2 linked regions of the Bombyx mori genome follow. The protein of the gene in region 1 purifies or fractionates together with the protein of each later gene. This does not show direct contact. Links are inferred from orthologs where the notes say so. Each region holds a gene or a part of one and is shown in the gene's direction. Other genes may lie near its edges.

The links. The genes of interacting proteins can lie anywhere in the genome.
Region 2: the proteins of MOF (region 1) and Msl3 purify together in Homo sapiens (affinity purification with mass spectrometry; 4 studies listed by BioGRID and IntAct, with this or other methods). This does not show direct contact. The link is inferred for Bombyx mori from reciprocal best matches to the Homo sapiens genes KAT8 and MSL3.

The regions. Positions count from the first base shown.
Region 1 is NC_085123.1:12,415,188-12,419,374, reverse strand, and holds MOF (MOF protein), read left to right. Parts: upstream 1-1,373; 5' UTR 1,374-1,505; coding exon 1,506-2,834; 3' UTR 2,835-4,077; downstream 4,078-4,187.
Region 2 is NC_085113.1:6,781,271-6,785,557, reverse strand, and holds the start of Msl3 (male-specific lethal 3), read left to right. Parts: upstream 1-1,485; 5' UTR 1,486-1,707; coding exon 1,708-1,809; intron 1,810-3,120; coding exon 3,121-3,299; intron 3,300-4,128; coding exon 4,129-4,256; intron 4,257-4,287. UniProt on the Homo sapiens protein: Non-catalytic component of the MSL histone acetyltransferase complex, a multiprotein complex that mediates the majority of histone H4 acetylation at 'Lys-16' (H4K16ac), an epigenetic mark that prevents chromatin compaction.

The DNA.
Region 1 (4,187 bases):
CTATGCTCACCGCACTTTTAAGTTACCGTGATTCAAAGAGCTGTGTGATTTTAGGTGAACGCTAAAACCCTAGCACAACAAGGAAAGAATGTTCAAAATTTAATTAGTTTTAAAACTAGTTTATTTAGAACCTTTGTATTTCGCCTAAATCTTGACCCCAAGTATATTAGGTCCCCTACGTATTTTGATTTGGGGACGGGCAAAGGTGACCAAAGAAAACGATGTGTAAGCTGCTTTACGCGAGCGAATGATCAATTAGGAACAGATTATCACACTCCCTGACTCACACTGATGGTGGTGCCACCTGGAAGGCTTCAGAGTGCTCACCAACTGAGAGACCTGGTGGTAAATGTGCCATCGACCGTCAGTTTAGCATGCAATCGACACAGGGTGACCAGAAGAGATGCGCTCTAGGCAAAACCGGTCCTTGGCCCCAATTGGCCTTGGATGAATACCGCCTCATGCAAGGTTCGGTTGCGTGTTGATAAGCGACAATAATTTTTAGTTGGTTCAACTCCGATATGCCCAGCATACTGGTCCCAAATCACATATGGATGTCCTACAATTTCCTCCTAATCCAATAAAAGCTGGTAGCCTAGAGAGGCTATTCTAGCGGAATCTTAACTAGTAGGTGAGCTCACGGGGCTCAAACCTGACGACGATGCTAACACGAACCCTAGCAAGAGTCGTGCTTCGCAGAATCTACCACCGGATCGGAAACGCGACTCACTGAGAAGATCCGGCGAGAAACTCAATGGGCTGTGTCTGAGAGTTAATTTACTCGTCGAGCCCTTCGTCGCAAGCGACGGGTTAGACGACAACGGTGATCGGTGCTTGAAGTACCTCGAAGCACCGTTAGTGGATGGGGAGGATCCGAGATGACGTGTGAAGGGTGGGGTAGCCGTTGTAACTATACTGAGAACTTAGAACTTATATCTCAAGGTGGGTGGCGCATTTACGTTGTAGATGTCTATGGGCTCCAGTAACCACTTAACACCAGGTGGGCTGTGAGCTCGTCCACGCATCTAAGCAATAAAAAATAAAAAAATAAACATAAAAAAATTAAATAAAAATATAAAAAATATATATACATATATTTAACTATATCGTGTTTTGGATTATTTTTATAAAACAGTTTTATTAATTCACTTTTTACCTGTTTCACTTTATATCAAATTTTCCGTCATTGTCATTTTCAGTATATTTCTTAGAGTCGCCTCCTTTCTACTTTCTTAAAAAATTAAAAAACAGCTTATAATCCAGAGGTGGTGGTGGATTTTGTAGCCGATACAACTTAAATATTACCATTATTGCTCTCTATCGTAGACTTTATCATACGAAATCGATAAAATCGCTAGAATTCTATCGGACTCAACTCTTAACCGTGCATTTCTCGTATGCTGCTTGGTTTTTCTATAATCTATGCTAAATGCTAATATGGCCACTTCGTCGATGAAGCGCATTGCGCGGTATTGCGTGATACCATTGTTGTTGTCGGCATTATTATGGCAAAAGGTGATAAAGAATTAGAGAAGCCAATAGTGAATAATGAGTTGCCTAATCCTGAGTGTCGAAGTACTGATAATGAAGACTCCGAGTCGGTCCCAGAACAGCCTTTGGACATAGGAGAACATTATTTAGTGCGGCGATCGGATGAGTCATGGCACCCGGCTGAGATTATACAGTCGCGATACAGTACAGCGGAATCTTGTTACGAATATTATGTCCATTATGTCGGATATGATAGAAGACTCGACGAATGGGTGTCCCGCCACCGGGTTATGTCAGATAGGTTCGACGTATGCGAGCAGTCGAACAATAACATAAACTGCGACCACCTGCTCACGGACAAATCCGGCCGGAAAATAACAAGGAATCAAAAACGTAAACATGACGAAATAAACCATGTGCAGAAAACTTACGCCGAAATGGATCCAACGACCGCCGCGCTTGAAAAGGAACATGAAGCTATTACTAAAGTTAAATACATAGACAGGATACAAATTGGAAAATATGAAATCGATACTTGGTATTTTAGTCCGTATCCTGATGAATATGGTAAACAATCAAAATTGTGGTTATGTGAATACTGTTTGAAGTATATGAGAATGGAAAAAACATACCGGTACCATCTCAGTGAATGCACAGCACGCCAACCCCAGGGTAACGAAATATACAGAAAAGGTACAATAGCTATTTTTGAAGCAGATGGCAAAGAACATAAAATATATTGTCAGAATTTGTGTTTATTAGCCAAATTATTTTTAGATCACAAAACCCTTTATTTTGATATAGAACAGTTTTTATTTTATATATTGTGTGAAGTTGACAAGCAAGGAGCTCACCTTGTAGGATATTTTTCAAAAGAAAAGGATTCACCTGAAGGCAATAATGTGGCATGTATATTGACTCTACCTCCATATCAGAGACAGGGGTATGGTAAACTCCTGATAGCTTTTAGTTATGAACTCTCAAGGCTCGAACAAGTTGTTGGAAGTCCAGAGAAGCCTTTATCAGATTTAGGCAAGTTAAGTTACAGATCGTACTGGTCATATGTTTTATTAGAAGTGTTAAGTGCTAGTAGAGGTACATTAAGTATCAAGGATTTAAGTCAGATGACAGGAATATCACAAACGGACATCATTTCAACTTTACAGTCAATGAACATGGTGAAGTACTGGAAAGGACAGCATGTTATTTGTGTTACACCTAAAATAGTTGCTGAACAATTAGCAAGCCCGCACTTTAAAAAACCACGGTTGTCAATAGATCCTTCAGCACTGAGATGGACGCCCCCTAGTAAACAGGGGAACTCTGCCAAAGCCAAAAAGTAGTACAGGCTTACAGGCAGGGCTTAGGGAATGTTAAAACACAGTTAAAACCAATATCTCAAGTCCAGGCCTGTTATAATAAAAAACTGCAACACATAGAATGCTAGAGTATTATAGTCGTAAGAATCTTTAATAAATGCAGTTGCTTTAAAGAAAATTCAAATGTAAAATAGCATTTTGAGATCGAAGAATCCCAGTGGATGGAACGACAGCTAAGTATTTTCAAAATTAGAATAGGATTAATGATATAGCTTTTAAATTGATGAGTGTTTTTCACAACTTGGGGTTTTGTTGAAAGAAAGAGTACCTCTAAATTGTATATTACACTATATGTCTATTTGTATACTATACTTTTATGTATTGCTCTTTTGGGATGATATCTCATATTGTGATGCATTGACCCTAGTATATAAATTTTGTGTATGTAACTTATTTTCAAAGACAAAAATATTTGTTTTCTAAGTGCCACATTCATTAAAAAGGACACAGTTTCATTAATATGTTTATTTCATGACAATGTAATGATTTAGTTCATTACCATTATTATTTCTTTTAATTTGTAAATGCTCTTTTATTTGTTACAAAACTAGATCTGCGTATTTTTGTAACATATCTCATTCAGTTCCTTTTAAACTGGTTTAAGTGATACTAATATTAAGTTTAAAAATTAAGTTAAAATTGGAAATAATGTAAGATTCATTTTAGCTTTAATTTTTTGTTTATTTAGGGCCATGTCTTGTTAGACTGACAGTAAAACTGTCTTCAATGTATAAAGAGACTAATTTGTGTAGTTTAATGTCATTTTAGGGATCATTTTGCAATATTTCATCCACATTTTGAAGTCAGAAATTAAATGATGCAAACAAGGAAATCTTGTGTAATCTTATGACAATGGCCCTCCCACGCATATCCAAACTGTTTTCAGTGTAAAAACACGAGTTTAGTATTGTGAAAAGTTCAATGACTTATGTAACCATGTGCGGACTTAAAATAGCTGAGGATTATTGCATCATTCAAGAATGACATGTGAGATTTGTTTTGAAATGTACTTGAATATTTTCTGTTTAGGATAAGCTTTTGTATTGTGTTTATTTCAATTTGGCAAAAATGTGTTGAATTGTCTAAAAAGATCTTGTTGCCTCATCAGTTAGATTCTGTGAATCGTCAGTTTTCACTGTTTGTTTGTGATAATCTTAATTTGTAAGGTGAAAGTGTCAGAGTTCGAAGATTAAAAAAATGAGAGTAATTTGTAACTGTGTTATTTCTAAACCCTTTTTTATTTCGTAAATTAAAAACAAAACCTTGTATGTTTTTTTTTCAATTACTTTTTATTGATTCATTTTCACATATCGAACA
Region 2 (4,287 bases), on another chromosome or scaffold:
ATTATCCGCTCGGTGGAAAATCTCCCCTCCGTTGTTAAAAAATTCTAAAGACCTATTTACCAAAAATAGTAGTCGAATAAGAAAAAATATTTTCCTTTTCTCCCCGCACGAATAAGTACAACCATCCTGCTGCAAAGCAATCATGTCATGCGTCATTTCACCTTTGAAACAGGAGCATTTACAATAAATGAAAATGCACAAGCACATGTGTCAAACTGTGCGCTTTGATTTTTATGGGCTCCGAATATAAATAATAAAAGAATATTTTATAATAAAAGAGAATAACGTTTTTTTTTCGTAGCGAATTATCGGAGTTTTAGATTAAACTATGCTTTCTTGTAAAAACATTAAAAATAAATTTTAGAAATATCATAACATGAAAATACAACGTGCGCATTATCGCTATTAATCTTCCAGGCAACCGTAAGATGAACAAAATCATAGAAGAAATAATGATAGCTTGCGATGTAACAATTTAAAATGCTTAATTGACTGAATGAGATAGAAAAATATTAATTAAAATACAGCATTTTATGAATAAATAAATAAATAAAAAGACATAGGTACAGTTATAAATATGTACTATAAAGTATGTAAGTAATAAGAACTATTTTATGACAAGAAGTTATAAATAAGAAGAATATTATAAAAATACAGATTTAACGCTTTTTAAAAACGCTCTATGACGTTTTTTGTGGTAACTAATCATAAAAGTAATGTTTTCTCAACATCCCTTTACAGAATTTTAATACTGAGCCAATCTTGATCGACAAAGGAAGTACATTCCATGGCCGAACGGATTCAATAGTTAACGACTGGTCAAAAAAACTTGAGGATAAGCATCACAAAACGCAGGCTCTTAATTATAACATATTTTGGTAGTTAAGTACGATTGAAGATAATAGTGTTTTTCGATTTCCTCCAAATAGGTTGAAATCGTTCTACCTAGATGGATTTTGTAGCCGCCATTAGTATTTCAAATTACAATTTTAATACTGATGGAGTATTCTTGTTAAAGGTAAAATCCATTCGATATTTCTCACTAGTTATTCTCCCCACAAAATAACGTTATTGAAGTAGTACTACTTTGCGATCAACAATTTTCTTAACAGCTTAATCGGGAGACCCACTGCCTACTCCCAAACAAAGCTTCTAAAATCCCCGGAAACTGACCGAAAACATTAAGCTGACCTCTATAATCTTGTACATTCAACCATAGAGTTTTAGAGTTACATTGAAGCATTATGATCTAAGATTTCTTTGCCTCTCCAAATATCAAATAGAGAAACAAGAATGAAATCGATCAACATGTCATTTTGAAATGTAAGCTTTATGCTTTTATGATAAGAACTATTTAGGTTTAAATGCTTTAACTTGACGTTGACAGATCCTGACAGCTGAGAGAAACCAAACAAAACAAATATCTGCAGCAGCCGACGCCCAAACAATAATTATTTTCAGAAATATAAGGCGTGTCCAGGGCGTGTCGCGCTACCTAAAATAATAGTACTGTACCGCTGATCTTACTATTGCACACCACGACCTGGAGTCATTCGGACGTCCGCAACCAGTTAATATCGCTAGGTTATTACAGATCATTGTTTTTTTTTGTTTTTAACTAAAATTTTACAAACTTAACCATCGCATTTGTTAAATGGAGTGATTTTATTAAGTTCCCATCAGTTTTGGGCAAGGCATCAGTTAACAATGGTCTCTACACGGGGGCTACGATATAAATTCACTGAGGGGGAACGAGTCCTGTGCTACGAGCCAGACCCTACTAAAGCCAAGGTGCTTTATGATTCCAAGGTAAAATACTTCTTTTTTTAAATAATATTTTTTTTAAACAAAAAACGAGGAATCTACCAATATGTAAAAAAACTATATATGTTTTAAATAAATGAAGTAAAACCTTAAGGCAGAACCTTAATTTAAAAATATAAAAAAATCCTTTCATTTACTTGTGAAAATCAGAATCTGTTTTACTAAAGAACATTTAAAAGTTGACCACACCCAAAACTTTCTTTGTATATAATTAATGTTATATAATTACAATTCAAATAATAGAAATATACATAATATGGAAAAAAAAATAAGAGTGCTAGCTTTAAAATTTTTGATGAGAACATAATCCAAATAATGCATTTGCTTTTGGCATCATGTTACTTAAAAAATATTCCAATCAAATATTGCTTTAAAAAGCAAAGAAAGTTGCATAAAATATATTATTTTATTGATAGCCACACCTGGACCAGACTTGAGATGTATAATCTTAAATAAATTAATATATTACTATATAATGATACATGCTCTACATTATTTAGTAACTTTTTCAAAAACCACTTAAACTTGATTATCACAAAGAAACTGAATGAAAAATTATAAAATTTTAACATTTTCTATTATAGAGCTTTTTTTTTACAAACGTCAATCTTAATTTTCTATAAAATACAACAAAATCCTACCTAAACCTATCTGCTCATTATAATTGGAGCAAAAATATAGTAGGAAATGAATTCTTTATATTCATTTCAAGAATTTGCACGAACAAAGCAAACCGTGACCACACCCTATCTGCACATTGGAAGTACAACAACTCATGTGTAGTCAAATCATATCAACATTTTAATGAATATAATAATATGTATTGAAACTGAAAATATTTATATCCAAGTAATATATATTTTGAAAACATATTATAATAAAAAGTGAAATTTCCATTAGAATGTATCAAACAAAGAATTTATAGTATGTCTGTATTTTTTTTTTTGCTTTGATGAGTGGACAAGCTCACACCCACCTGGTGTTAAGTGGTTACTGGAGCCCTAGACATATAAAACGTAAATGTGCCACTCACTTTGAGATATAAGTTCTAAGGTCTCAAGTATAGTTACAACAGCTGCCCCACCCTTCAAACCGAAACGCATTACTGCTTCATGGCAGAAATAGACCGGGTGGTGGTACCTACCCGCGCGGACTCACAAGCGGTCCTACCACCAGTAAAAAAACATATTGAAAAAAAATTAATAAAATAGTGAAATTTCCGTTAAAATGTATTGAACAAAGAATTTATAGTGTGTCTAAGTAAAATACTATTTAATTATATCAATAAATAAACAGGTTCTTGAAGTCGTAGAGAGCAAAGACAAACGAGGGCGTAGAACTGTTGAGTATCTAATCCATTTCCAAGGATGGAACTCTTCGTGGGATCGCTGTGTCAGTGAAGACTTCGTTCTCAAAGATACAGAGGAAAATCGACAGCTGCAACGTGATTTAGCTGAAAAATCACAGCTTCAGTTGTAAGTATTCATCACTACATAGTATAAAACAAAGTCGCTTTCTCTGTCCCTATGTATGCTTAAATCTTTAAAACTACGCAACGGATTTTGATGCGGTTTTTTTTAATAGATAGTGATTGAAGATGAAGGTTTATGTGTATAATAGCATCCATTAGATAGTGGAGAAATCAATAATAAATTACAGTTTCCGAAGCGAAGCGAGGGCGGGTCGCTAGTAACACTTCAATGAATCTTTAATATGAATAAGTTTAATAAGTCGTTATAGACAATTTACTGTATTCTTATGCATTTTAGGTCTTAACTACTAAAATTCCTTTTAAAATTAATTAAATATTTTCCGATCAGAATTAGGCCTATAACAATTCTTATTTCTCGATTTCATGTCAATCTATGTTTTAACAACAAAAAATCGATTTTCGATACATAACATTTGAACATTGTATAAAATTTCTGCAGTTCATTGTCTGCAACAGCCACGCCCTAGGCAACGCAAACATCCCCGTTAGCTATTGCGCATGAAACCTAGCCACGTAGTACATACCTATAGACCTACGTACCTAGACATATATTAAGCGTATAATTCGAATACATGATGGCGTGTGTAATGAAAAGTATAATTTATTTGTATCTAGGATTTATTGTTTATTAAAAAACAATAAAAAAAATTAAATCCGCATTGTGCATCCTGATTTGCAAAGTGAATATTCCAAACAAAAAAATGCGTAATTGTAATGAAAAACCTTTGATTTTATTATTTTGTGAAAAACTATAGAAATAAAATTATAGAATTGCATCGCAGTATTATCGACATTGGGGTTTTTTTTGTTAGAGGGGCTTACTTGTACCGTCGGGAACGAAAGAAGGGTGGTAGTACAAGCGCCGCCGGGGCGGGGCCCGCCAAGCGCACCCGTCATGGCTTTAGCGACGACGGCTCTTCGACAAGTACCCAGCCAGACGGTAAATATAACCATAATCTATAGCACACCTA